Linked DNA regions of Drosophila melanogaster. The protein of the gene in region 4 interacts with the protein of the main gene of each other region in a pairwise test. Each region holds a gene or a part of one and is shown on either strand. Other genes may lie near its edges. The genes, in order: CG3014, CG14089, gudu and Sema2a.

Region 1 (8,715 bases), on a different chromosome or scaffold from region 4:
AAATGAAAAATGATCCAATCAATTGAATGGCTGAGTGGCTTTTTCTGTGTTCTTTTTTATTCCTTTTCCTAATAGTAGTTAGAGCATTTTCATAAATGTACTTTAATATGTTCAAGTAATGAGATCAAGTGCGCAGAGATACAATTCATTCAACTTTGTCCGCCTAAAACCAAAAAATGCAATTTAAACACTACAATTTGTACTTGTCTGATAGAAAGGATTTTGAAATCCAAAGAAAAAAACGTTGGAGTCGTAAAGTTTATTGTTGTCCTTGATCCGAGTGTCTGTTAAGCCTATCTCATTTAAAATGAATCTCATTACTTAGTTGTCAATATCATTTTAATACATTACACTTTATTCCTATTATATAAAATTGTGTATCTAAAATAATTGCACGTTTTATTCCATTACCCTTTTATATATATAAGTATACAAGATATTTTTACCAACTTAAATTAATAAAAATTGTTTTTGATTCTTAATATATATATTTTATACATTACCTTCCATAAAAACATATATTTGTTTTTTATTGTATCTAAAACGATGAACATGTATGCGCCTGAACCAAAATCATTATTAATATTAAATTATATCGAGCCGTTTTCTTCTTCTTTATTATGGCGTCTTTTAATGTTTAAGTCAAAAACATTTATCGAATACCAATTAAGAACGTTTTATAGATTTTTAAAGCTTATCTTAACTTTTTCTACTTTCCTAATATGCATTTCTCTGTTAATCCGAGCAGAAATAATTTCAAAATGTGCTTAACTTGTAAATTTATTCTCTTGTTACCGCCCCGAAACATGCTACATTTTGTACCGTCCATTCACGATCCCCTTTCCTTCGAAACCCGAAAACCGTAGAGACGCTCTACGATGAGTCCAGTTCCCGGCTGCGTCTTACACTCAGCTGCCAGGACTCGGCGGCACCGGAAACGGATGAGGATTTGGCCCCGAACACAAGAGGAGGAGAGCCCCCTTCTTGCGAAAAGAAATGAGATGTCTTTGGACTAAGCGATACGGAAAGAGCTGCATCAAATGTAAACCAATAAGCCAATAAGCGATAACACTTACATATTTAATCGAAATCAAAATACTATAGAATGGAAAATGAAACCCAGTGTGCTAACATGTAGTAGAACTTAAGTCTGGGCGCAATTTAAATTGAAGGTGGCAAATCGAGCCATTTTTTATAGAGCCAAAGCAGAATGGGATATATTTTGGAGAAGAAAGCTATTTAGGCCAAAATGAATTTGATTTATTTAACTATTTTATCCTCCCTTTCTTCTATAGTCCCTATATTTACATTTAAATTTTCTCTCTTCTCATTCTCGTTTTCCCCTTTTTAACTAACCTTATACAATTATTTTTTAAGTATTGCTAATTGTAAGCAGATTGATACTTGATACAGTGGTCGCTGGCTAAATGTATGTGAACAATGTAGTGAGAAGTTAGATGAAATCATTTAGCTCGTAATTTTAACAAAATCTGCACAATTTTACCAAACGGAGAGGGGAAATTAAGCGCGAAACTAACATTTTCCAATATTGAATATTGTATTGACTTTTTCTGTGTATCTATGAGAAATTTACAAGCAAAGATTAGCCAAATTGTGTTTAGTTTTTTATTATTTAAAATCATCACATCATCATAATCTTTAGGTGTCTAAATGAGATATTGTCGAACTAATTATATATATACAAGTGTCTCTTGCTCTAGTTTCTATACAAATTAGATTGTGTTGTCTCACTATATACTTTGTACTTCCTCTTATTTAAGCGCCAGTCTAACCAAAAATCATATAAGTCTATTTCTAAGTCTTAACTGTCTTCAATTCGATTTAATCCGATTCAATAAAGCAAAACAAGCAAAATATATTACGTATACCACAAAAGCTGTAGACACATTTACATCCTGTACACGGTATAATCAGCAAAAAATCTGAGTCGGCTTAGCTGGACCATAAAGCTAAATTTATATATTGTTATCGCTGCGGCCAAAACAGACTTCGGGCCAAATTAGCAGTAAAACAGCAGCCATTTCTCATTCAGACGACTCGTGTGGAAACAGTTTTTCAGACTTCCAACGGCTTCGGATGAAACCTCAAGTTGTCACAGTCACTTGTTTGCCGTTCGTTGGCGAGGTCACAACTAGAGTCTCAGTCGCGTGAATGCGAATTTTCAGAAAAGCACACATATATAAAAAAGCCACTCCAAACCACTGAAAATGCCAATAAATTGCGAATTTAACTTATCGCGTGCCGCTGCCATTTATTACAACGGCGAGCAAATTTCGGGATCACTCACTGTGACAGTCGACGGGAAAAAAAGTTTCAAATTAGAGGGTAAGATGCCATTAGGCAAATGAGTTGGTTTAGTGATTAGATAGGGGAGAGTGCTGCAAATAGATGGGCAATCTGATATGCTGATCGTGTTGTTGTTCCCCATTCGGCAGGCGTAAGTGTCACTCTCCACGGAGTCTCGACGGTCCACTGGCGGGAGTCACTTCGAGGTCCGCCGGAAATCGAACACAATGATAGCACCGGAAACCTGGAGTGCCCCAAAGTGGATTACAACGGCAGCAAGGTGCACATAAATGAAACGAAAAAGTTAAACGAAGTACTTCAGCTAGAGAATGGTACCTTTCGATTGGGTGACTTCAATTTTCAGCTGCCTGAAAATCTGCCAGCCACCTGTAGACTTCCTTTCGGCAATGTGGAGTATGTGCTCAAGGTTGTTCTCGAAAGACGGGGAACACATAACAAATGCTTTCAGCAGCGATTGGTGATACGAAAGTGTGTGGAACTCGCCGATCTCAAGCCCCAATATATGGAGACTGCGAACATGGGACTTACATTGCCGCGAAGTGTTTTTGTTCCGGGTCAAAGTGTAAGCTATGAAATCTGTTCCAAAGATGGAGTCCAGGACTTCCTTACGCGCTTGTGTAAAAAAATCAGCTACACTAGTCAGCAACCAAGTGCCAAAACCAAGAATGTGACACAAGTGTTGTCCGAGAGTTCGGAACTTAATGGCAATCTTCGCCTGCCTCTGACAGCCCCTATTATGAGTCACTCAGATCAGCTGGACCCTATACAAATCAGTTATTACATTGAGACATTCAACTCCTTGAATGCCCCAATCAAAGTACCCATTTTCGTGGCCACTGTTGCACCCCCCGTGAATTCCCAAACGGAATCGTCGCAACTTTGCTTCGTTAATATGGGTAAGTCCATACGCTGCCCATTAAAAGGGGCAACCAGTAATTAACTATTGTCTTCTTTAGCTCTTAGCCAGAGTGAGCTGCTGGGGCCAATTAATCAGTTTCTGGCCAACAGCTGTTCTCGGGAAATCGACGCCTTGGCGCTGAGCAAACATTGTGAACGTGAACGCATCAAGTTGCTAAAAGGCCCGAAGAGAAAAAAGTCGTACGTGCATTTAGCTTTGCAATACTTTTATAAGAAAGTACTAACCTGACACACGTGCAGAGTCTGGAATTTCAGTGCCAAGATATTGAGAATTGTAGAATTCACAATAATTGAACTTGAAATGCGATAAAGGAAAGTAAGCCAAGCAAATAACTGGATTCGATTATCGACTATTACCGACTATCAACGTACACAAAACGAAATTCTTATTTTTATTCTTCCCAATAAACTTGGGTTACGTATAGTACTAGCTAAAAATATATTTTTAAATATGCAAATATATTTCTATGTGAATTTGCCATTTTATGCAGTCCCTTTTCCCCAGGCAAATGGCTCGCTCTCATTATCGCAATTATGCATGCCAGATTAATGGAGTGAGTGCCCAAATAATTTCGAGGTCCTAATTGTGCCACGTTATGCGGCAGCAAAGTGGCCAAGGGGTTACACAGCCAACACCCCGAAAACAAATTGCTTGTTGTGACGCACTGTTCGGTTTTGTTGACATTCTTTCGGCCGTTGTATCGGCGGTTGATATATGGTAATAACAAAAATGTACCCCAGTATATGGTGGATATTGGCTCCTGACCTCGCCAGCATCCGCCCCCTTGGCGTTCGTCCACCATTTCAGCCGCCACATAAGCGAGCGAGTGAGCGAGTGAGTGAGTGTGTGTGTGTGTGTATGTGCGTGTGTGTTGGCCGCAGCGAAACAAAGGAAACCGAAAGGACCCACGGCCAAAAGCTGCTCCATTTCCGAACGATTCGCGCTGCAATATTAGACCAGAAGCAGACAGTAGACGGCTACACAGACGCAAGGCGCCAGCTTATTGATTCGCCCGCCCCCGAAACTCCGCTCCCCGGAAAGCGAAAGCCCGATGGCGTCGGATGCTGACAAAGAACTCGCCGTTCAGAACTCAGTGCGCGTCTGGCTGTGTGGAAGTTGGGTTGCGGTTGTTCGGTGCTCCGTCTCCAGAAGCCCAGCCACGGATATAGTAGTGATGAACTGGCAGTGAAGATTCGGTTAACTCGAGCCGGAAGCAAGTGCAGCAGCCATGCCCACCACCTGTGTCTTTCAGCTGGATCGCCTGAATCCGGTTTACAACAGTGGGGAGTACATCAGTGGTCGCATTTTGCTGCGTACGGACAAGGTGAAGCGAGTCAATGGTGGGTTCAAAGTACTCCTAAGTTCCTATCCCCCTGGGAAGACTACAATTTCCCAAATCCCCAGCCGTATATGTGACTCTGGAGGGCGAGGCCAAGGTTCAGTGGTCGATGAGCGGCAAGAGCGAGACGGCCAACTACTCGGGCCATCAGCAATATTTACACTCACGCACCAATGTGTTCGATAACACCCTCTTCCGGGCCGGAGTCCACGTATACGTCCTCACCCTCAGGATTCCGCCGGACTGTCCCAGTACCTGCAAGGGTCCGTACGGCTATATAGCCTACACTATCTCGCTGACCATCGACAAGCCCTGGGGCTTCGACGAGGTGTTCCGGAAGCCCATCATCGTGGTGCAGACCCTGGATCTCAACTACAATGCAGAGTTTTCAGTAAGTAATTCTACTGTGGTGTAATTGTAGGCAATGAGTTTTGCTTTTTAAGTCGTGCTTTAATGAATAAATTATTAATTTGCAATCAATTTTGGCATACAATGTCATGCTTTAAAGGAAAACTATATAAAGAATTTAAGATATGCTTAAATCACAGTCCAATCATTTAATAATACTTACCCCAAACTAGCTACCTGTCAAGGACGAGAATCTGAAGTATCTCTGCCATTGGCCCTGCATTTCGGGACCCATCTGCTCCACCTTGACCTTGCCCGCCTCCGGATTCACGCCCCTTCAGGAGGTACCCTACAGGCTGGAGGTGGACAACCAGTCGCCACACTACGACATCATCGGCGTGGAGGTGTCCATCAAGCAGCACTTCGTCTTCCTGTCGCGAAAGCCCGTGAAGCGGAACTTCTACTCCAAGACACTGGTCAAGGAGCTGATCTCGGACCGCACCCTGCGCCTGTCCAAGCGGCAGTACGAGTCCAGCATCTGTGTGCCCATGGACACTCCCCGATCCACCCTGAACCCCAACTACATCGTCTTTCTGCACTACACGCTGCAGGTAAAGCTGAAGACGGGTTACTTCCACTACGACACGGACCTCTCAGTGCCCATCATCGTGGGCACCACCTCTTTGCAACACCTCAGGGACTCGGTTCACACCCAGCAGCCTGTGCGGAGGACGCCCACGCCAGAGAGACAGCGCCTGATCGAGCGGGTAACTCCCCGACCGCCAACAGTGGAGGAGGATTCCGCCGGAGAGGCAGATCCGGCTACCGATGAGCCGCACAGGGTGATCGAAGACGACGAGCCACCATCTTACGACAGTTGCCGTAAGTTTTGTTTGTTCTAACTTGCAATTTAAGCAAATGATCGTATTCATTAGAGTAGTTTAAAAAAAAATCTAACATGTTATAAAATATTATTTATAGCACGACACATTTCATTTCACCTAGGATTTGGTTATATGTTGCTTTAAACTTCAATTGTAAGTTTCTGTAACAGTTGCTTAGGATAGACTTTAAATTCATTGATTTTAATTTTCTCATTGTATAGAAATAGTAATACCCATCGATTAAATTATTTCTTTTTGAGAGATGCAGTTCTATTCGTTTTTCTCGACTATCACATTCCCGTTACAGTTCAACATTTTGTTGTGATATCGACACAAATTGTATAGTAAAATTATATCACTTACAGTTCCTGAAGTTTTAAAAAATGTTAGACGGAAAAAACTGCCAAATCAAATCACATGTTGCATATTTATTTTTTTAAAACTCCATAAAATCATCTAAGGAGTATACATATTTGTTTTTCATGCATGTAATGTTAGCTGAATTTTGAATACAAATTTACAAAATTTAATTGGTTAATCGCTTGGTTAATTTCACTATTATAGTAAGGTAATAGTAATAGTACAGTATAGTAAGGTAAAATATAAGGTAGTTCATTTAATGCAACAATGGCAAGGAAAATCCTTCAAGTCCCTAACATTGTTATAAAACTTAAATAGCTTATCAACACTTCCATTCGCAGTTCCGCCCTCCTTCAGTTTTGCTACCCTGGCAGGAAGTCAGCAAACATTAGGGAGTAACGCCGCAGTGGTCCTGCAGCGGATCCACTTGCCCAAGTTTCCTGGATTTTCCACACTCATTGGGACAGCTCCTGCTCACGGAATGGAGGACTCTGGCCTGGACATGCACATGTACAGGTCGTACGGATCGCTTAACACGGATCACACAGGTCGGAGTCTGGACACTTTCGGATCCCTCTGTGGTCCACTGTCCGAACATGTCGAGGAGCAGGAGCAGGAGGCAGAAGAGAACCTGGATGTGACTGCCCAGGTGCATCGGCCGATTCAACGGGCAACGGTTTCGGAGGTCGAGAACGTCCTACAGGACGAGCACCTGTTCTAATGGAAAAGTGTCTTATATACGTATTGCCAACCCCAGTAACAAGTAACATAAGTGTTCAAGACTAAGGCTTATAAAGGATTTTTAGGCCGGGTCCTAGTACGTCGTCTAGTTTTAGTGAGCTTTCATTGCGCAAATTTGTACACTCGCGTACCATCCAAAATTGATCGAATCGAACTTATTGAGTGCCATAATCTCCTTTTTCTAGTATACCTATAACCGCTTTTATACATCCGTCAAACATTTTCGATTTAAATATGTAATCGACTCGATACATATACTAATTATTGTAAGTACCAATTAATGCGTTCTCAAGTGGACAATAAATAATTGCAGTATACAAACAATCAGTTTGTGAATTGTATTTTGTGTTGCGTGGGGATGGAAAGATATTTAAACGAATTCTTGAAAGTTTAGCGAAATATTTGCTTATTGAGTTAGTGGCTTAAAACGTTTGAATGTGAACCAAAATTATTACGTAGCAAAATTGATGAATGTATTAAAATGAAAGGTCGATAACTTTTTCTTGGCTATTTACAGAGAAATTGTACTCATCACTGGTCTTGCGAGTCCTTGAATCCGTCATATAAACGAAGTTTTCGCACATATGTAGGCTACACCTGCCATCGGATGTAACGTATTTTAATTAAATTACAAATTGTTTGGTACGCGATAGCACTCCTCACCCGGCATAAGATAAGATATAGCTCTGGTGATAATAGCCATGGTAGTGGTACCATTCACACCTAGTATATCCGATAAGGCCGCGTCCAGTCCTGTTCTTAATGGGCGGGCATGTTGTCAACAACTGCCAGACATCGGTTAGCAGTCGAGCCGTCAACAGAGTCCAGAGAGCTGAAAATGAGCCACCGCTGTGAGATCCAATTGGACAACCCACGGGGGGTCTATAGGGCCGGCGATACGGTCAATGGTCACGTCTATCTGACCCTTTCGGAGCGGGCCCTAATCAAAGGTAGGTTGGAGCATGACTCATGGGCTATCCCGTATAACATGGCCATCCAGTGGCGCTGATTCACCGATCGAGATCTGGTTTCTTTTATGGACTTCCAAATTGCTGATAGTGTTTGTCGCACTGAAATCAAATTGCTAATACCTTTCAGTGAGCTTATCAACTACCAGGCAAATTTGATTAGTAACTTTTCATAATCGGAACTTGAAAAATATTTGTGCAAATTAATGTGGTATACTTATAAATTATAATAATCTTCATAAATCGTTAATTCTTTTGGCTTATGCTCTTTATTTCAGCAATATGCCTGGAGGCCAATGGATATGCGAGCACTGCCTGGCAGCAGCCCCAAAAGCACAAGAATCAAAAAAAGAACGAGCAGCCAGTGGTGGTTCAGAGTTTGGACTTTGATTATCGCGTGGATTATTTTGCCAAAATCGATTATTTTGTGGGCTCGGAGGCCGCACAGCCACAGATAATGGAGGCGGGCACCTACAATTACGGTTTCCATGTGAAGCTGCCCAAGAACTGTCCGGGGAATTTCGAGGGGGGCCACGGACACATACGGTACACACTCCAAGTGCTCATCCACAGCAGTGCAGATCGTCCGCTGGAGGTGCTCCATGTACGCCAGCTGCAGATTTTCCCGCAGAACTCTCTGAGCCAGGAGACGCGGAGCTGTGAGATCCAGATCTATGAGCAGACTCCTCGCCTTAGATTCTGGATGAAGCCACTTCATCTGCAGCTCCAGATTCCCAGGCAGGGTTATTCGCCAGGAGCAGGTATTTCTGTTCACTTAAAGCTGCATAACCCGGAGAAATTGACACTTCGCGAGGCGGTGTATTCCCT
Region 2 (6,024 bases), on a different chromosome or scaffold from region 4:
AAACGCTTATCGTGGCCAATCATAACGATTTTCCTCCACCATCTGACATTTTCCTAATGCGCTTAAGATAGTGCACCGCCGTTTTTTTATACAGAATTTGATAAATCGCCCAGCTGCAGGCAGGCCAACAAAAACTTCGGGTCAAGTTCAAACTAATTTCTTTGCAAATTGTTTTGGGGTCCATCATGGGTGCAGTGGCACGCAGGAAAACAAAGTATAAAATCTCTGTAGTTCATAAGCTCCGCATTATAGGGATCGGGTAAGAGGGATGGGGTTTTCCAAGGAAACTCTCTGGCAGAGCCATTAACAAGGCATTGGCCTCTATGCAGCTTGCAGCTTGCAGCTCACGACTGGCATCCTGTGCCAAGAGCAGAGTTTTCCCAGCCCGATTTTCCCCTTATCAGCAACTTTTCCATACGGTCGACAATGAGCTGTGTTGTTAGCCTTTAGGCGCCAGCCATTCGCCAAGTTTTCCTCTTGCCCGGCATCTATTTTTCCCCCACCGCTTTCAATTATCCAGATAATTTTTGCATGTTTTTTCGATTTCCGCTTTTTCAATTTTTATCTCCGTTGACAGCATTTAATGTAATTGGTTTGGTTTCGGTTCTGCAGTTGTGCTTAAATATGGGGCATACATATACATATATCTAACTGGCTAATCTGATTGGTTTTTCGCGACCCGGCATAATAAAAACAACTTAATTAGATTGTATTTTTATGGACCACTGGGCGTGGTGGCTCCATAACCACATCTAACCATATCTTATACACTCAAAGTGGATTTGGCTAAGACAAAATGTGAAGCGGAACCATAATGTGGTTAGAATATGAATGCCCTGCGGAGGGCTGTTCGACAAAAATATAGAAACCTTTTAAGTTATAAAATTTAAGTTCGTCATGAATATTGAAGTTTCTTCCAAGCTATTTATTATTAATTATCATTATGTTATTTCGTAATGTGTAGGACATTGCCTTCTTAAAATACTCTATTGCAAATGATGTAAGCTTCAGTAAAATTGCGATAAACTTCTTGAGCTCACCTCGTTTCCATTCATTGGTTTTGTATTACATTTTATGGCCAAAGCATGGTAAACAAAAAAGGCCCAGCTCAATAAATATGCTTATAAATATATTTGCCTAGACACACTCACATTATTTTATAGGCTCGTTCAAGGATAACACTCCTCGTTTCAACCCGCCAAAAAGGACCCCCCGCACCGAACCTTTCTTTAGCCATTTTTCATTTCAGTTATCTGCGGCGTTGGCGTTGATGTCTACATGCATGGCTATCGGGCCGGTCTTTATATAGTGTAAGTCACGGATCTAAATATCCCCCATAACTATACTAATTTCTGGTTAGTTTTTCAGCCGTGCTGGTAATGTTTATCGAGATCAAGTGGCTTGTGACTATCTTCCTGCAACTTCAGTGCGCAGAGTAAGAAAACTATTCAAGATTACCAAATAACATGTTCATAAATTATAGTTATTCGTATATATATTATTTGATAATTAGCAGTTATTATTTATGAAATATAGAAATTCTAGTTACCAAGCCTAGTAGTTGTAAAACTAATTAAACCCTAATTATACTATAATATGATATACTTTACTATTATATACAATACTCTATATCAAGTGCCTTTGCTCAGATTTTTCTCTGCAAATTTTTCTCTGTTCACATATTTGTGAATTCAATTTGTTTCAGGGATAATTACCAGCGAAGGTCCTGCAGCTGCTTGGCCTGCTGGCGACTTTCAGCGATTTGTGGCGGTTGGCGACCCACTCCTGTTTATGCGGTCATCGGCATCTGCCTGATCCTGTATCCCCACAATCTGTGGCTGAGTTATGTGGCCGGGATGTTCCTGATACTCCTCGGACTCCTCAGACTGTGCACGCTGCTCCGATTCAGCGCCTCGAAGGAGGAGGGTCTCCTGCCGCAGTGCGACTTTGAAAAGTGATGCCAGCCAACGAATGTCTTTGTTATTTGTTTCTAATGTCTGTTTGTTCTGCGATGATAGGGTGTCGAGCTTTGTGGATACCATGGAGGATGATTTCGCGGAGATTGGTGCCACGCAAGCGGGATTGGATGAGGAAGCGGAGGAGGAGGGCGACGACCACACCGCCCTAGACGACGATGTTTGCTAATAGTTTAAGCCAGCTTTTCTGCCTAATGTAATGTGAGATTTTAAACGACTTAACAAATGTCTAATAATATACAGTTTGTAAAGAGGTTTCGATTTAAACGCTGAGTGCGTGGTATATTTTTATAGGTAATCGATAAACCCACACTTTGTATGATTTTTGGTGTCATTTATAAACGAAGCCACTCAAAAGTCAAAAAGGACATTCTTCAAAAGAATTTTGAAAGTTCCTTTTAAGTATTGGGTATCTGCTTTTTACCTACAGAAATAATTATCAAAGCTATTTCGTTTTAAATAATGTTATTTTAATTTCGTCTTTTATTGTTTTTTGTGCTAAACGGATTTCTGCGTTCACTAAAGGCCAAAATGAAGGGCTGGTCGTCGAATTCTTCGGTTTTTCTCAGACCAAAAGAACGCTCATTGCCGTAATCATACTCGTCCTCATCATAGTAGTTATAGTAGTGCCTCTGGTGGCCTTTAGGGCCTCCATGTCCATGTGATGGAGGAGGAGGAGGTGGAGGATACGGATACGGTGGATATGAACCTCCGGGATATCCAGGAGGACCCTGAGGACCAGGTTGGCCAGGGATTCCAGGCATCCCGGGGTGGCCCTTATCTCCACGCGGCCCCTTCTCGCCGGGATCACCCTTGGATCCTTTGGGGCCGGGATAGCCCTTCTGCCCCGGCTGTCCCGGTGGACCAGGTGGACCTGGAGGACCGGGCGGACAACCGCATGGCTGTGGCTGAGGATACGGATACGAATAGCTTGGCGGATAGTGTGGCGGATGATAATGTTGATGATCGTGATCCTCCTCTATGATCACTTCCTGTGGCGGGGCTGGAGCGGGACTTCCAGTTTGGAGGGTGATCAGCCGGGGCACTGAGGCATCATCCTTGGCGAAAACTCCCCCAAGAACAGACAGTAGTGCCACCAGCAGAATAGTCCAGTTCGCAGAGAGAACTTCCAGATTCGACGACATGCTGTGAACTAACGAAAATCAGATCGCAGTCACTTCTTTTATGTGGATAAATGCGTTTGAAAAATGGCAACAGAGGAGAATCATTCAAACTCCCGTTAAGATAGCTCATTTGAGATCTATATGTCTTGTCTTACGATCGCATTATATTTGTATCGTATGCTAATTTCTCTTGTTTAATAAACCAAGCCATTTATTTATAAAGTATCTGATTTGCATAATATTCAATGAATGAGTTGAGTTTTTGGGCTGATGAAAGAACTTTCACACCAAATGGATGTCGGACTTTGTGATCGAGCCATGAAAAGTGAATTCTCGTATTCTAGGATAGATCAATTAACAGGTATATGTATATCATTTCTGCGCGTAAAAATAACATAAACTTTTACACAAATTTCATATGGAACCAGAGCAATGACTGGTGGTGACCGAGATGATGATTTTTACATTTAAACGGAAACATTAACCATTTTGAATAACTAATGTGTAATTTGCTAACACCTGAGATACCACCTGTCCGTCCCTGTGAAGCACAAAAGAAAACACTTTCGAGACATGCTAAGAATGTCTGTTCGCAATTTTATTTAACTGTGGCTTCTTTATTATTCTTTTGTAAGTGTAAAGTGGAACTCATGATGACAAGAGCCCCGCCCACATAAACCTCAACAAATTTCTGGTTTTTGGGCAGATCTCATAACACTTTTTGCATACTCACGCTTCAGTCTAAGTCATTTGGATTTGTGGACATTAGTTATGTTCGAGAAGTTTCTGTTTTTGTTAACATATGTATGTAAATAGTTGTAACTTTTAAAGTTCGTTTTATTTGTTGTTTTGCTTTTGTTTTACACATGTTTGCTATGCAATAAACATATTAAATAGTTTCTTTAATTATAAATTTACTTTGTTTAACTATTATTCTCTCTTATTCGTGTTTTCGGTCGGAAAACGTTGAGGTAGCTGCGTTTGCAATTAATTGTTATAAGTAGCTATTCGCTTGTTTATATCCCTGATATAGGCTATTTAAGGTTCTGTTGTGGATAAGAAGAGCTCAAATTGTATTCATTATTATTCAGACAATACATAGATAATTGAAAGAATCAACCGAAAAGGAATAACTAAAGTTTATGTTTATTTTATTTTGTATATATATTTATATAATATTACGATAGATATATTACGCATCAACATATACATAGAAAATATTCAAATCGTTTAAATTAAAATTAAAGCATATAAAAAATCAAACATTAGAAGAATATCAACAATTAAGAGAAACAAAAGTTAAGGCTTGTCTGCTGTGTCTGATGGCTAAAAGGGGTTTTTCCGATCGGGCTACAAATATCATCGGATTGGAGAATATCCTTTTTGACTGCGAATAGTCAAAAGGTAGCAAAAGTAAACTCGAGTTGACTAGATAGTGGATGGTGGTTAGTTATAGTTAACTTTTGACATGGTCTCTGTGCTCGAACGGATCTGCTTTTACCGAACAAAAAGTATTAAAATGGTGCTAAGCTCATATTCAGAACTGTGATTAATGGCAATTAATCTTTTCACAAAACTGATTCATTTAAATCATCATGATACATTATCTGGCAGATACACAATCTTAATAGCCCGATCCAACTGGCAATCGCTTTCGCATGACAAACAAACCTAGGAACAAACCAAATAAAAATTGGGAAAAGTAACTAAAAACAGAAGAAGACATTGAAGAAACTGATCTGAGTTTTAGTTTGTTATCACTTGCTCTTCTTATAACATACGACTAACAACTATCTTTGGGATTCATTCGAACCTTGCTGGCTTTTGTTCTAGTTCGCACTACTCTGGTTTGATTCTTTAGTTTTTTTGTGGCGCTCTTACAGCTCCTCTTGCCCTTCACTAACCCTTCAATCTTTTCCATTCATTCTATAAAAATATATAAACAATGTTTGCCGTCCTTGGAAGGCTAGGGTGGTTCGATTTATCGACGTGCAGGGACTGAAATATTCTTGTGGGAGTTATGTAATTTCTTGACATTTCGTACAATAGTTCTTGTTGTTAATAACAGCTCTTAAGTTCCAAAATATCAAAACTTAATCTGCCTTTGACTGAAAATTTCATTCCAAATTAGTTCCAGTTGTGTTGATACGTTACGTTAAGAATTGCCAAAAAAATACTTAGTTCCTTGTGGATTTTCTAACAAAAAATCCAATCACCCCAATGAAGAGTTAGCCCCACGAAGGTTGGTATTCTGATCTGTGATCTCTGACTGGGCGGTCATATGGGACTGCTTGGATTTGATTTCTTACTGGGACATAGACACCACGTCAAGGCCCGGAAACTTTCCCAGATCTTGGTGTCGTGTCGTTGGATTGGGCATGGGAGAGGGTGTTGGATTCTAGACGGGATGCTAGTGCCTTTAGTGCGGGCCCATCGCCACCGGTTAGTAGAAGGAGCTGCACCAGGCATCGCCCGCCGTGGGGCTTAGCAATCCGACCAGACTGGCACTATGGCCGGTGGATACGGCGCCAGTCGCCACAGACGGAGGCGATGCCGTGGAGCCGCCGGCGGTATGTGTCGAGCTGGGCAAACACTGGAAGCAGTAGTTGGCCCCGTAGTTGTTGTCCCAGAACTGTTGGCCTTTGCACTGGAACCTTACGGCGAACTCCAGCCTCTGGCCCACGTGCAGCGAGTTACCGAACAGCACGAAGGTGAAGATGTCGGAGAAGCCATCGCAAGAGTTCTCCACGTAGTTTGCCTGCAGGTCGGCGTAGCTTCTCCATCCGTCCAGCGAGTACCTTATGTGCACCGACTTGTGAAAGTCCAGATTGCGCACACGCACAGATCCGGATATCGTCTGGTTGATGTTGTCCGTCACGGCAGCGTTCTCCAGGGACACCTGCTTCTCCCGGACCGCATCGAGG
Region 3 (7,530 bases), on a different chromosome or scaffold from region 4:
GCCATCCAGCACAGAACGTTTCTATGGGTTAAAGATATGATTATTTATTTAATATAATATTGAGTTTAATTTGACATACGTGACCGTCGCCTTCTTCGTCTTCTTCTTTAACTGGTAAGTCTCCTACGGCCCAAACTTCCATGTTTCGTATTTTGAACTGTTTCCGTTTACTTGGGTACGATAAATAATTGGTAGATTAACCACAATTGTTTAAAATAATGTTGAATTAAAATATAGAATCTAGTGGTCTGTAAGGTGAAACATAATCAAGATTTTAATTTACACTCACCTCAACTGCACGTAGTCTCGATATGTAGTGCAACTTTCAACGCTTTGTCCATCGCCGAAACTGCAGTCAATCCAAAGGCCCCAAAAATCAAACTGACCGCCCATGCCCTGTATACGAAAAATATAAACATTTAGCAAAGCAATCAATCAATTAGCTATAAACATTACTCACCAGGCCATTCGGCATAGTCTGCTGATTCAAATTCAAATACTGATAGTGATTGTTATAAGTTGTGGCCGAAAAGCACCGCATGGCAGGGCTTAAGGTGTAGAGCAATGAGCTGTCATCGCCTCCAAATTGCGGTTTCACGGACCACGTTTCGGACGCGTAGCCGCCAAATATATATTGATCCTCGTCCTCAATAAAGAACAGCGTTGGTCCTTTGTCCAGCACTTTTCCCAACATCGTCGAGAAGCTTTCCCCGTTGATTTTCGATGAGAATAGAAAGCGCCATTTGTGCCGATGTTCGCGGGGCAGCTGAGCATTGATATACAGGACGTGAGGTAGTTCGATGATAGGGCGATAATGACTATTTTGCGGAGCATCTGGAAAATAGGAAAAAAGTTATAAACGATTTTAATAAATTTAAAAATTTTCTTTGTCCTACCACACAGTGCTGGCAGAATTGGAATTTCCATTTCCTTGATTATGTTGCGTTTGCTGCCACCATGGCGACAATACAGCTGGCTAAAGACCTCGCGCCAAATCTGCAAAAACTGCGGAGTGACGTGTAACCAACGTTCCAGGGCATCGTTGGGCATAGTGTGCTCTAGCTCCTTGCCCAGATTTCTCATAAGGCCCTTGGCAAATGTGGCGGCGGACCTTTCCGTGGTGTTAAAGCCAAGATCGTGCCACTCCTTGATGCCAGAGTTTTTCGCTGTACTTTCCAAGTGCACGTAGCTCTTGATCACCGAGTAGATATACTGGGGAATTATAAAATTGATTAATTCGCGAGCAAAAGATAAAAGAATTAAATAAACAAGTTGTTCATATGACAGCTAAGAAAATAAACGTGGAAATCTAGTTTTCAGGATAAACATAAATGGAGAGCTAAACCTAATTCAATAACAAACATGTTATGAATCCTAATGAGGCTCGGCTGACAGAAGTTATAAATATTATTTCCGCGATCTGATGACAATGACTACTTATTTATAGACTCACTTGCTCCAATTGCTTGCTGTTGAAGGTGTCATTTCCACTTCTCTCCATTGAGCCCAGGAGCATTTGCATTTTCTGGTCAATAGTACCGCGTTCCATGATGTAGTAGGGCTCTCCAAATTTCTTCAGCTGAAGGTTGACACATTGCTGACCTGGCTTCGTGGGCGTAAATAGATACTGAGCCGTACTTTCGGCCAGGGATCTTTCGATGGTTTGCGACCAAGTTTCCTATTTTCGAAACAAAACAACAGATACATGTATATGTGTGTACATAAACAAAATGCGCGCCGGATACGTAAACATAATTTTCCCGCTGCTGTCAGCAAATTCTTGCAGGGAACGAAGGTCTGGGAAGCGCTGACACAGATTAACCCATTGAAGGACGTACAATGAATAATAATTTGGTTTGACTGAAAACAAAGTCTCTCAAGTTTTATGAAAATAAATACTACTTCAATGTATGTAAAGTTTCAATTTAGAGAGTTTCCGCTTAAATTACTCTATATGAATGCAAGTCTTATAATTTCCTCATTCTAAAAATCAACTATTTCACATGCCATGCTGTAAACGGGTTAAGCATATGGTTTATTTTTAATTCAATTGGGTTTGGCCCTAATTGACGACCCCAGTCATTGAAATCACGACTAATTCGTTAGCAAGCAAATTCAACAAAGCAAAAGACAAACAGTGAAATGCGGCAGCAAACAAATTAGACAAATTATGGACACGTTCGCACTGGCCCAGGAATTATCAATTCGAAACTGATAACGCCCGAGTTGAAGATATCGAATTTTGCTATACCCTAGGAAGCGCTGTGATAATCAAACACGAGCTATAAATAGATGGAAATATTATAAGGAAAAATCATCATCTGGTTACAAACAAACATTTTTTGAGTGGTTGCATTTCCGTCATCTGTGCTGTGATAAAAATAAAACACAAATCTGGGGCCTTGAACCCGCATCGGAAAAATTATAGCATAAATTGTGTATGATCAGATTGATTTAACTAAATGGGTTAAAATAACAATTTTGGAAAGTTACGTGTACATTTAATCTAAATAGGACTGACTAGTTTAGAAAATTACATTTTTAAACAAGTTGAATAATTTACTTTTTATAAACTCTGTTAAATTTCCTGGTTTGCACTTTAAATCGAAAAAGAACTGTATTAAAATAAGGTTTAGAAACTTTGAACTTTTGTATAATGCCGGATAATGTTGCGACTCACTCTCTTATATAACTAAGCTTCTTTTTCGGAACATAGTACTATGATTAACTTCAATGTTTAATCCTCGAAATAGGAGTTAGTGACAACAACAAATTAATGCCCTAAAGGATATACCCATTCAAGTGAAGGGTGGCCATCGCAGCAGGTGGATGGACGGCCGTTTGTCATGCACTCGAAAGTCCCGATTTCTCTTTTTTTGCCGAAGAAAGTTCACTCCGCGCGTCCTTGAACTTGTGACCCTGACCCTTCCGCAAATGCAGAATGCAGTTGCCATTGATTTTCGCAGTGCACACGTGGCACGGTAACTGGATTTACTTGACTTACCACCAATCTGTCTTGGGTCAACTTCTCAAGTGCTCCGCCAGAGGCGTTTTTGTACGCGGATTCCAGCATGCGTAGCTCTTCCGAATTGTAGAGATTATCCGTCTCCCGCTTGCCACTCGCATTTCCCATCTCAGGACACGAAATTCAGTTGGCTGGTGCTACGACGGCTGGTAAACAAACAATGCAGCTGCAGCTGCGGATGATCGCGGATTTTAATTGAAAATAAAAAACAAACAACACAAGCTGGTGATGGAATGGCAGTCGATTTCCCTGCGATACCCTCGATAGTTTCGGAAACGGGTAAATTTCGCGGTGGTCGTCTGCACTATGAATGGTTATTGTCTGTGCTAAGTCAGGTCGATGTATTTGCTAAACGGTTAATTTTAACCGCTAAGCGAATTCAACGAAGGCCAAGCGAATAAAATAAATTTTAAATGCCTTGGATAGCTGTAGTTAAAAATTTATTAAAATAAAAAAAAACTTACAAGTTTGAGCTAAGATACCTTTGCCCTAGCCCGGTATTTTTGAAATTATCTCAGTTACCTTAGCAACACGCCTTATTAAATCAATTGCCTGGCCTAATAAAGTTCTCCCACACAAAAACACAATAAATTCCGATACAAAACTGAAGAAAGCTGGCATACCGACAGATATTTCCGGAATACGATTGGCCAAATCTGTGAGTAATCCAACGCGAAAGGATGATTGGCACTAGCAGCGGAACGTCCCACAATCGGAGTCGAAAGAAGAAAGAACAGTGCGGATCCTGTCCCAACAGATTCTCAAAGGATAAGCGCCAGGTGGCCGCCGAGGACTCGGATACCACGGAGGTGGAATCGTCTACGGATGAGGAGGAACGCTGGAAGGAAGTGGCGCGAGCCGCTGAGATTCCGGCTGACTATTATAATATCCAAAAACTGGTGAAATACATCAAGGCGGGCAATCAGACAGCCACTATAGTATCGTTGTGCTGCTTGAAGGACTACGATCTGAGCACCCAGATCAATCAGTTCGCCATCTCGGACATCGGCGGACTCGATGTCTTGGTTAACATCCTGGAGTGCAGCGACACCAAGTGCTGTTTGGGCGCCCTCAAAGTTCTCTCAGATATCACACTGAACATCGATATTAGGAAGACCATCGTAGATCTGGATGGCATTCCCCTCATTGTGGACATCCTAAACTCTTCCATGAAGGACCTAAAAACCATGGCCGCCGAGACATTGGCCAATGTGTGCAAGGTGCGACTGGCCAGAAAGTATGTGCGCACCTGCGGAGGAATCCCCAAGCTGGTGGATCTCATCGACATCAAGTTGAGGTGAGTTGGCATTGGATAAAGTGCTTCATACTACATCACCACATATAAGAAATAATTAAAAAAAAACCTAATTATATTATAGCATTCTAAAGACGCCTCGTGACCAATTGAGTCCAGATGATCTGGAATCTCTCGATATGACACGCGCTGGAGCCCGGGCTCTTTTCACTCTGGCCGATTCCAAGCACAACATGGAGCAGATGCGCAAGAGCGGAATTGTTCCTTTGATGGCTCAGCTCCTTAAGTCCTGTCACATCGATGTCGTCATTCCCATAATGGGCACCGTTCGAAAGTGCTCCTCGGAGCCGAAGTTCCAACTGGCCATCACCACCGAGGGCATGATTCCCGACATTGTGAGCCATCTGAGTTCCGAAAATACCGAGCTGAAGATGGAGGGCAGTACAGCGATCTACAAGTGCGCCTTCGACGGAACCACCAGGGATTTGGTGAGGGAGGCTGGGGGCTTGGAACCTTTGGTAACTATCATAAAGGACAAGAATGTGAGGGAAAATAAGCCTTTATTGAGAGGCGCCACTGGAGCGATTTGGATGTGTGCCGTAACCGATGCAAATGTCAAAGTGCTGGATCAACTCAGGACGGTGAACCACCTGGTGGCCTTGCTAAATGATGAGTGTGACGAGGTCCTGACCAACGTGACCGGAGCTATATCTGAATGTGTGAGATTTCAAAGCAATAGGGAGCAACTGCGTCAGGCTGGAGGATTACCAGCAATGGTTTCCCTACTCAACAGTTCTCACGCCCCTCTTCTGGAAAATTTAGCCAAGGGATTGAAGGAGTGTGCCGAAGATCCGGACAGCATGAGAATCCTTGAGGATCTGGATGCGGTCAGGCTGATATGGTCGCTATTGAAGAACCCCACAACTAGGGTTCAGGCCCATGCGGCTTACGCCATATGTCCCTGTGTTCGAAATGCCAACGATTCCGCTGAATTGGTCAGGAGCTTGGTTGGCGCCATGGAACTGGTGGTGGGTCTGCTAAAGTCCAAGGATATCATGGTCTTATCCGCCGTTTGTGCTGCCATTGCAACAATTGCCCAGGATCAAACCAATCTAGCCATCTTAACCGATCTGAAAGTCATCTACAAGCTAGCCGATCTCGTCCAGACCACCGACGACCTCCTTCGAATGAACTTGGCAGCTGCCGTGGCCGCCTGTGCCTGCTTCGGTAATAATACGGAGGAACTGGGACGTCTGCGTACTGTCACTCCGATTGTCACCTACATGACCAGCGACAATCCCTTGGTGCACCGCAGCACGGCCATGGCACTGGAGAAGCTATCGATGGATCCGCAGAACTGCATTACCATGCACCAGGTACATTTCTTCTACCTAATCACACTTAGCAACTCATTTAGATTCTTTTATTTTACTTCAGAGTGGAGTTGTTCCTTTCCTGCTGGAGTGCATTGGATCCACTAACAAGGAGCTCCAGTTGGCCGCCGCTGGTTGTCTGCGCAATATCCGCGAATTGGCCTTGCGTGCCGAGGAATATCTGCTTAAAATCGACGATGACTAGCTTCCTGTTTTTTTTTCTTTGTTAAGTTATTTAATTGTATTTGACGAAATATATGTGTGTATGCCGATGCTACCAATTTCTTGCATTTTTAGCAAATAAATTAATAAGTTAGTAAATTTTTAAACCAGAAATCCCAGAAAAATATGTTTCATTTTCCATGACAATAACATCTAGCTATATAATTATATATTTGTCGCTACATATTTTGACTAACTAAGCTCGACCCACCCTGCATAAAATTCCACTCTAGTAACTGGCATTACTGCCCCTGGTGGAAATGCTCATCCGTCGCTCCACGCGATTCGTGTGTGGCAGCAGGCATCCCGGCGGTGGATACCGCCATCTACGTGGTCGGGACAACAGGGTGCCGTCCGTCGAAGCTCTACTACGGAAGGGAGCATCGATGTCGCTGCGTGAGCTGCTCAAACTGCTACTCGTAATCTCATCCGTAGACTCCGTATGGTCACCGTTGCTCTCCTCCAAACAGGCGCTTCCGATGACCAGAAAGGAATGTCGACCGACGCCCAAAGACGAGGCATCGTAGAAGGAACAGGATCCCGAATCGGGCGTGAGGATTCCATCCGTATTGGCCACATCGCTGGTGGAGCGCTTGAGCTTGGGGAATTTGCTGAAGACTCGCCAGAAGCGAAACACATCGCGAAAAACATTCTGCACCTGGTTGGAATGAGTGAATAAACAAATCGTATATTTATAAGGTGCCATGTGATGGTAAATGGAAGATTAATTTATCAGACAAAAGTTTAATTTCACTTCACCTTAATAAAGAAATCTTTTGTAAGAAAATTTTTCCTCTTACTTGATCCACGCTCTCTCTGACGGAAATCTCGTGAAAACAGGAGCAGGATAACTCCCTGAATCGGCGCTGACCCTCTTCCAAGCTGACCATTCGATCGCCCGGCTGATCTGTCTTATTGCCCACCAGTATGACAGGAATATCCAGTGCGTATTCCTGGAAATATGGTATATAAATAAGCTTCCTATAGGTGGTTCAAAATTAAGTAATTTACTAACTTTACTGGCCGAGCCCAACTTGCGTCTTCGTTTATTGTAATTGATGAGGAACTTTAGGCGACTGCACTCGTCGAAGGAACACTTGTCCGTAATGGAGTACATTAGTATAAATGCGTCGGCCCAGCGGATGTTGGACTCCAGACTAACTCCATCTAGTTCCTACATGAAATGGTCTTTAATGTCTTGCAAAATGAAAAATGCAATTTAAAACCCACTTGTAGCTGACCGGTGGCGTCCAGAATGTCAAACTGAATCTGCTCCTTGTCCAGCGTGGTTTGGCAGGTGTAAATCTTCTCCAGATTAGGATCATACTCGCCAATGAAGCGTCGGGTAATAAAACGCACCACCATGGCTAAATGGGAAAGTCCCTTCAGTTTGGGTTCCCTTTTCTGGGAGTTGGGCGCACAACTCACCCGTTTTTCCCACACCACTTTGGCCCAGGACCATAACCTTCAGAGTCTTTTGTTTATTGGTATGCAGACCCAACTTGACCAGCGATGACTTTGGCGAGGTGGCATTCATGGCAGATAACAGGGGCAATTGTCTGAAAAATATAATAGGAAACTTTAGTAAGTGAGAAGTGGTGAACTTTTTAATAAGACTTACACATACCCATCTTTTAAATCTATTATACTAATGA
Region 4 (7,657 bases):
GAATGAAAATTTAATTAAATTTCACCTTAAAATGATGGGCAAATTGAAATTAACGTTAAGCGAGTTGTTTGCATCAATTTAAGGTGATTGAATTATGGCAAACGACAAAATCTGTGGCCTAACTGCATTTGCAGTTGATTGATTGCATTTGGCCCGTTGCCTGTGCTAATTGCTTTTGCAACATTTTGCGACACTTAGCTATCGGTTTTCCGTTTTTCCTTTTCCCGCTTTTCCCCTGTTTTTACTTCTCTATCTCTCTGTTCTCGGCGTTTTTCCATCACCCTGCGAGCGATAAGCGGACTTCCTCAGCTGTAATCAGCAACGCCTACATTAAGTGGGTTCTATCAATCGGATGTTACATAACTATGCACATATTTGCCAAAGCACTGCGACAAAAAATGGCAATTTCTAGTTGGATTTTTCATTGATTTGGGGTGCGTGGAAAAGTTACTTATTCAGCTTAACTTAAAAACCCCTGAAAACACCCCCTAGTTACTCAAAAAATAGCACTACTTGCACTTCTCGCACCTAACATTAAATATTAATAATTAGAGTCGAAAGTTTTTATTTCAGTCACTATTTCGAGAATGCCCCTTTCTCCAAGTGGACTTGGCAAACTTGTCCAAGGCGAAACGTGATTTTCCTTCCGTTCGTTCGCTGGCCAACTAAAACTTGGCCAAAAGGGTCCGCTTTAAACACACTTTTAATGATGTTGCCGCCGCCGCTTGTAGCTTCGCAGGGAAGCAATATTAAGCCCCACTTGCAACTGGAGGTGTCGGGAACGGCACTGCACTGCACAGCACTGCACTGTATTGCATTGAAATTCAATTTCGCGGCAAAGTTTCCATTGTGAGCAGCTCCACGTTGCTCCGTGCTGACATGCTTTGGGTGGTTCCCCAGTGCTTGACTAGAATCCCGGCTCAAAGCCAGGTAAATCCCCACCCAACAACCCAACAACCCAACAGCCAGCCATCCGCCCGGCTCAACAGGAAAGGGGTGGTCTCCATTCGACCCGCTATGTGAACAGCTTTTGACATTGCCGTCATGATGAAGTGGAACGCACAGCTGAAGCCCCACCCCAGCTACTGGCTCTAAAAATACAAAAAAAAAAATAAACCCAGAAGAAGGAAATATAAAAGCCGGGGGCAAGAACTCGGCTATCCCTTTATCGCTTTTGTCGTTTTAATGGGTCAGCAGTGTGTGCCTATACAGTTTGACAAAGACCACGAGCGAGTGCGAAGCTCTTAAAGCTGTTGCATTTGGCCAGAAATCAGACAACGCGGAAGCCATTAATCCCAAGCTTCATCCACCATTTGTGGCAATAAAAACTATATACCAAGAGAGTTGAAAATAAATAAGAAATGACTGCTATAATTCTAAACTGTCTCACTTGGCCATGTTGCGTTGCTCAGTTTTATTTGCTGCACTTTTTGCTAGATGAAGTTTAGAGCAAATGAGTTCATTACTCCTCTGGCTTTGCAAATTTGATATGTATGTGTTTTAAGCTTATAGAAAACCATTTAACGTATTGGTATGCTTAAGAGTTTCCAGTATCTACAAGCTTGTAAGCACTATATTAGTTAGTTAGTTGGATGTAAATGCATTAAATACCATTAAGTGCTATGGATTGTGTGAATCTATTAGTTAGTTTCTATTTTTCCTTCCTTTTTTTATGACTACAGAAACAATTCAACCTTTGGCTACCTGCCGGTCAAAAAATGAGTCAATAATCAGGGGTTTGGCCTTAATAATGAAGTCGCAGCACCTTGTGCGTGTATCTTTGTATCTTTTGTGAGAGAAAACAAAGGGGAAGAGCTATCCGGCAGATAAAAATAGAATTTTAGGGTACAGAGTGGTGGAAACATCTGTCAAACCGCTGAGTCAACCAATTGAAGTGGCCGAGGTGGCGACAGAGGACGTTGCGGCCGCATTGGTACTCACAAATGCCATAGAGAGGCATAAATTTTGTACTACCCTAAAATAAAGTGCAATTAATTTCATTTAAATCAATGAAAATAGTGCTTTTTCATTTACAGACGGGTAAAAGAAGAAGAAGATAAAAAAAAACATGCAATAAATATTCCGCATCAACGGGGGAATTTATAGTTGACATTTTAGAGTTTTGTTGTTATTCAGTTCGGTGGCTTTTGTGGTTTAGTTGGTTTTACCTTAATTTATGGCCCGCCGATCGGTTTATATAGTGCATCTGGTGCAAATGTCCAACCTTCGAACTTTGTAGCTCCTTCTGCATGCATTTCGGACTTATCCCATATAGATTTTGCTATATAACTCCCGGAAAAGTATGCGCAAGCAGCTTGAACGATTCCCTAATCGTCTCACGTTTTCCTTTAGGGCAAGTGCTTAGCTATTGAGTTTACAGCGCAACATGCGGCAAGGACCAAAAAGTTGTTGTCGGCACGTGAAGTTTTATGCTGCACTTATGGCTTATAGTTAAAGATATAGTGGAGACAAGGGGGACGGCATGCCAGGCATTCCGGAACGTGGACTATTAGAAAATGTTTACTGGTCTTGACCCGGATTGCTGTTGTTGTTGTTGTTGTTTGGCCAGCCTGGCTAAATGAGATTTAAATTTTTTATACAACATTTTCTGCGTTCTTGATACTTGATGGCTTTTTGCTGTTCTCTAGCCACATTCAATGTATGCTGGGGAACTTTTCAATCAACCGCACGATGATAAATGAATGCTGGCCAAAATTATTGGCAAAATCCAACATGGCTTAGACATAGAGAAGTGAATAACCTGTTTGTGGCCGCTCGTAGATGAATTTTAAATACTTTTAGGCTTTAATGACTCAATAAAGCTGGCCAAGTCTACGAAACAGAGGGCTTGTAAAAAAATACAGCGGAAAATCTAGGTAGATTGAACATTTAAATGGTAAAGCATTCACATTTTTCTAGAGTGGTAGGGGAGGGGGGGATTAAGGGAACCCAGTCAATTATATATCATTCAGGATTTATCTCTGTGGATTATAGGACTGCATATGGTTAAAATATGATTACATTATTGGTATTTGTTTAAACATGAAATATGCATATGAATAGCAACAATTCACAATTGCGCGGACCAGCAATATTCACTATGAATGCACCGCATTAATATGCAAATTATAAAAAACAACAACAATCACAATGCTCCGAGCCAGAAATGGAAAATGGCCCAAACCGAAACGAAAAAATATAGTTGCAATTGAAATCGAACCAAACGAGATAAATAATAAAGGCACAAAGAACATGTGCGAATATTATGGCAAATAAATTACAAATTTGTTGTTGCCTGAAAGATTGAAAAATAATATTGGCCGCAGTTAAAAAAGGGGAAAAAGCTGTCTTATTCGTGTAAGCCGACGATTTAAGTACCCTGTACAAAATATAAGTAATGCGAAACAATTTTAATTCATTTTTTTCATACATACTTAAGTTATGATCAAGTTGTAAAATAGCGTTTTAAATAATGTTTTCATTCTTAAGTTTTAAGTGTAACGAACATTAACATACATTTCACATAGTTTTTACGAAGAAATGTGAACTAGTAAAAGATTTTGTTAACATTTTTTTTAATTTTTAAAGCCCCTCGAAAAAAGGGCACAAAAAGTGAAAATTTATTTTACAAGTGTGTTTTAATCCGTGTTCCCGCCCCTTTTTATACCGTTAGTTGGCTAGTTACCTGCGCCGTGTTTCCCGTAATTGTTGTTCCCCTGATCGTTTCCAGTGCAACAGGGACGCTCGTAGTAGAAGTTCCAGGTGTTCTCGTAGTCCGCAGCTGTCTCGCTCACACTACTGCAGAGGAGTAGCAGGAGTGCGAGGAGCGGCGATAGCTGTAGAAGCGACATTGCGAGGGCGGTGCGAGCGAGAGGGGTGGTCGACCGGGGGCCGAATGCGACCCCACCAACCTCAATTGGATTAAAGTGCAAGAGCGAGCGAGAGGCGGTTGCTTGTTGATTTTACCGTTTGATGAATAAAAACCGGCACGTTTTTTCCCACGAATAACTGTTAACACATTTAACTTGTATTATTTTTACACACTTTTGCGGCAATTGCAATGGAATTGATTTCACTGGCAAATGGATTTTAAAATAAACTTCTTTCCTTGGGCGATTTATAGCACCCCTCTGCTATTTTTTTCTCCTTATATATATATGTTTTTTTTTTGGACCCGCAGTCGTAGTGCCAATTTCGTTTCGGATTAATTATGTATGCGTTGCAGGCGCATAAAGGCGTAATGCATTTTACACAGTTCTGTGTTCAATTCGGTTTTCAATTCGATTTCAACGCATTTAGCCATCGGAAAGCATGTGCGATATGAAGATAAAGGCAAAAGGAAACGTTAAACTGGTTTATTATATGCCCACGCATCGGAAAAACAAAAAAAAAAGCAACAATATTGGGAAACAATGAAAATTCCTCAACGCTGGAGAGTGGGAAAGAGACAAGGAAGGTGAACGAGCGCGTTTCTTAAAGTTTATACTATTTACAAGGCACTGCATCAATAAATAAATGATGAATCTGCAAATATTTCCTTGCTTTCAGTTTAAAATTTGCCTTTAACCCACACGCACACAAACTTGCTCACGCACTCACACACACACACATACGCAACAACAAAGCCAGAGATACACACTTGAGTTGTTGTTGGGAGTTTCGGTTTATTGGAATTTCGAAAATCGAACTCCGAATTGAATGAACTGCAAAACGCCAATTAGATAGTTGCAAGCCTAATGCATTTCAGATATTTTACCGATGCGAAACAAGTTCCGCCACGAAAGGGAACACTGGTAAAATGCCCAAGAATCTCGAGCGGAAACACCAAACACAAAAGAACAACCGACAACAAGTAGAAGTGAGAAAACAACAACAACGCACGATCGCTCCGATCGCGCAGATGTGAGAAAAACGCTAGCGCGTTTAAGTCGAATGACTATCGCAGTCACGCGTTTGGGTTTTTGGTATATACCAACAATGGTGATCGTGTTTGAAAATAATATTTAAAATATATATAATTTGCATAACTTTTTCTCTTTATATCAGAAGTTTTAGATTTTATTTTGGCTAACTTTGAAATATGCTTTCTTATTTTTGTCTGTTTACAATGCGCTTGCTTTTTAAGTTAGTTAATATATAATATAATATTTTCTTTGACGTATTCAAGCCGATTTTAACTATTTCTTAAATTATTCTTAAGAAAAGGTAAAAACTGTTGACACAAAACTTTGTTTAATATTCGTGGAGCGTCGTGGATTTTCATTTGTCGATATAATCCTTGCTCCTTGCCACAAAATGCCGTTGCAGAATGGCGGTATTCAATTTTCGTACTTCACCGTGCGGAAGCGGCAAAGTGATTTTTAGCAAGGACAACAAGGACAACGACAATTTTGGCAATAGGCAAACATTTGCCAACCCAGACACACACAAAACGGGCGGCAGGATGGATGGATGGATGGCAGGTATGCAGACGAATCCTTGCATTTAGCAGCCTCGAGCGGCAATTAAACGCAGTTTGCTAGTGTCTCTGGCATTTGAGTGTCTGCTTGGCAAAATATTTAATTAAAAAGCAAGTCGGTTATGTTTTCGCATCTCCTTGATATTTTCTATTGTACGGGTGCCACCTGTGCGTGCTTTCGTTTCCATCAGTGGCGTAGGGGCTGTAGTTTATTCAATTATTCAGCTGAGATGTTAATGATGATTGTTTGAGGCACTGATCAGCTCAGGTGGTACGTGACCATCAAAGAAAAAAAAGGTAAGAAACTTATAATATAGTGCAAACGTTTCCAACTAAAATTTAATAATTTTGATCGCAATCATTGGCTAACCCCCACAAGAAATCCTTGCGCACGCCACTGGTTGATTGTGTCTGCCTGGCCTTTTCTCTCTGTTTGCCTGCTAATGAGTTTTCGCAGAATCACCACACTAGTCGTCCCCCTCGCACCCGACCGTGCGACCAAAGGAGCACTTGCATCATGATACTGTTGAAAATTTTTGACACATGTTCACTCACTCTATCCCTCTATTTCATTGCCTCTCCCTCTCTCACACTCACTCTCGTTCTAGCCCGCATTGTTGTTGCCGCTTTGTAGTTGCTTTGATGTTGGTTGCCATTTTTGGGTTTTTTTCCCTTTTTCGGGGGATAGCCTTTCAAGTGCAGCAGCGACAACGTCGCCATTGTCATTTGTTTTCGCAAACGTTTCTTTCACACAATGTCAACTTTCAACAAAGGACTTTAATTAAGTCCTTAATGACAGCTTAATTTAGCGCACTTTGCACAGCGCGTATGCCCCAACACGTACACAAACAAAGGCACAACGCACTCACACGTAGCACATACTCGCACACGTATGTATGTGTGGGAAAAAGATGGGATGTGTTTTGTTTAGTTCTTTCGCTTTCTTCATCTCGGAATCCTTTAGTTGCGGTCAATTAAATAATAATTTCAAATCTAAAAAGTACACGTCATTCCATAAGAAGTCATGCAACAATTTAAGGGACGAAAAGAGAAATTCAAGTAAAATGAAATAGTTGCCAATCAACCACCCTTCATATAAACATAAAAACTAGCATTCGTTTTGCTTATTATTTTGTGATGCAATTTATTACTTAATAAATTGGGAGAGAGCCTAAATAGCATTTTGATTGTGCCAAATAATACATGGAACTTGTCTCGCCAAACATTGTTGGTCGCTCAACTTGTCAGCGGCCGGCAACTTTCATGCATTATATAAAAAGTTGGCCAAATAACCAGCAGCGAACCACACCAACACACTGACAGACACACACACGCACACACATACACAGCTTGAGAAAGCGATAAAAACCATTTGTTGTGAATGTCCTGTTTTGTTATTTGTTGTTCTGCTGCTTGTCCTTTGTTGTGTTGTTGTCGTCCCAAGTTGGCTTACTCAAGATACTTACAAAGATTTCAATGCACTTTCTTCCTACCAACTTGTTCGCGCAGAAAGCCAAAAAGCCAAAAGAAAAATAAAAACTGGACTGACCAACAAGAGCAGCAACAACAACTGCAGTGAAATAAGCCTATAGAAGATTTGGCTCAACTGAAATTATAAAACATTTAAAACGCAAGGATATAGCTTTATTTTCGGCTAAAAATTATATTTTTCCGTGCTTGGGACTTCTGTACTTGGTTTTATAAATCTAATGAATATGCTCATATGTCCTAAAAAATAGAACCAATTCACAGATATATTTACAGCTAAGAACTTTATTTTGTTTTTAGCATTGAGATACTCCTTTTATTAACTTTCCAAGTTGTTGCATCTATCAAGGTGCTCTTGTCAAAAAAGCAAACAGATTCCTGTTACCGTGTGTTGACTGTACAAAGGCAGCGGCATCGGCGACGAACAAGAACAAGAACGATTTGACTTCTGGAAACTGTCAGAGCAAGCAAATGGCACTAAATATTAAGTTTGCCGTTGGAACTTGACCAGAAAAAGTAAACTACGAGGAAAACTTGGCCGGCCAGAACTAATGAAAGCTTTCTGCAAGTGTGAGGCGTGATGGTGTGCGTGTGTGTGTGTATGTGTGTGGGCTAAAAGTTTTTGCCTTTTGGCTCGACCACAGAATTTCTCATGAGTTGGCGCTGCGGCTGCGGCTGCACTTGTTTCAAGTTCAATTAATTTTAAGTGCG

Evidence for each region.
Region 1: the proteins of Sema2a (region 4) and CG3014 interact in a two-hybrid assay, tested with the Drosophila melanogaster proteins (one large-scale study listed by BioGRID).
Region 2: the proteins of Sema2a (region 4) and CG14089 interact in a two-hybrid assay, tested with the Drosophila melanogaster proteins (one large-scale study listed by BioGRID).
Region 3: the proteins of Sema2a (region 4) and gudu interact in a two-hybrid assay, tested with the Drosophila melanogaster proteins (one large-scale study listed by BioGRID).

Annotation. Positions count from the first base shown.
Region 1 is NT_033777.3:7,797,790-7,806,504, reverse strand, and holds CG3014 (uncharacterized protein), read left to right. Parts: upstream 1-3,711; 5' UTR 3,712-4,475; coding exon 4,476-4,587; intron 4,588-4,651; coding exon 4,652-4,977; intron 4,978-5,167; coding exon 5,168-5,816; intron 5,817-6,519; coding exon 6,520-6,899; 3' UTR 6,900-7,241; downstream 7,242-8,715. Other genes in the region: CG2993 (uncharacterized protein), read left to right, coding at 867-1,000; CG18268 (uncharacterized protein), read left to right, coding at 2,229-2,346, 2,457-3,224, 3,285-3,475; CG18744 (uncharacterized protein), read left to right, coding at 7,758-7,869, 8,166-8,715.
Region 2 is NT_037436.4:19,277,680-19,283,703, forward strand, and holds CG14089 (uncharacterized protein), read right to left. Parts: upstream 3,122-6,024; coding exon 2,447-3,121; 3' UTR 2,441-2,446; downstream 1-2,440. Other genes in the region: CG14086 (uncharacterized protein), read left to right, coding at 1,250-1,310, 1,361-1,435, 1,706-1,954, 2,019-2,145; Gbs-76A (glycogen binding subunit 76A), read right to left, coding at 5,544-6,024.
Region 3 is NT_033779.5:7,384,971-7,392,500, forward strand, and holds gudu (gudu), read left to right. Parts: upstream 1-3,537; 5' UTR 3,538-3,705; coding exon 3,706-4,322; intron 4,323-4,404; coding exon 4,405-5,656; intron 5,657-5,717; coding exon 5,718-5,858; 3' UTR 5,859-5,932; downstream 5,933-7,530. Other genes in the region: CG5149 (uncharacterized protein), read right to left, coding at 1-21, 80-170, 290-396, 461-834, 897-1,212, 1,454-1,678, 3,005-3,133; CG5160 (uncharacterized protein), read right to left, coding at 6,105-6,533, 6,676-6,828, 6,891-7,049, 7,106-7,242, 7,304-7,412. UniProt on the Drosophila melanogaster protein: Important for spermatogenesis where it may have a role in sperm individualization.
Region 4 is NT_033778.4:16,513,370-16,521,026, reverse strand, and holds the start of Sema2a (semaphorin 2a), read right to left. Parts: upstream 4,878-7,657; 5' UTR 4,757-4,877; intron 4,574-4,756; exon of another isoform or gene 4,494-4,573; intron 4,108-4,493; exon of another isoform or gene 4,009-4,107; 5' UTR 3,852-4,008; coding exon 3,686-3,851; intron 1-3,685. UniProt on the Drosophila melanogaster protein: Ligand for transmembrane receptor PlexB. Plays a role in growth cone guidance. Required for both proper adult behavior and survival. Can function as a selective target-derived signal that inhibits the formation of specific synaptic terminal arbors.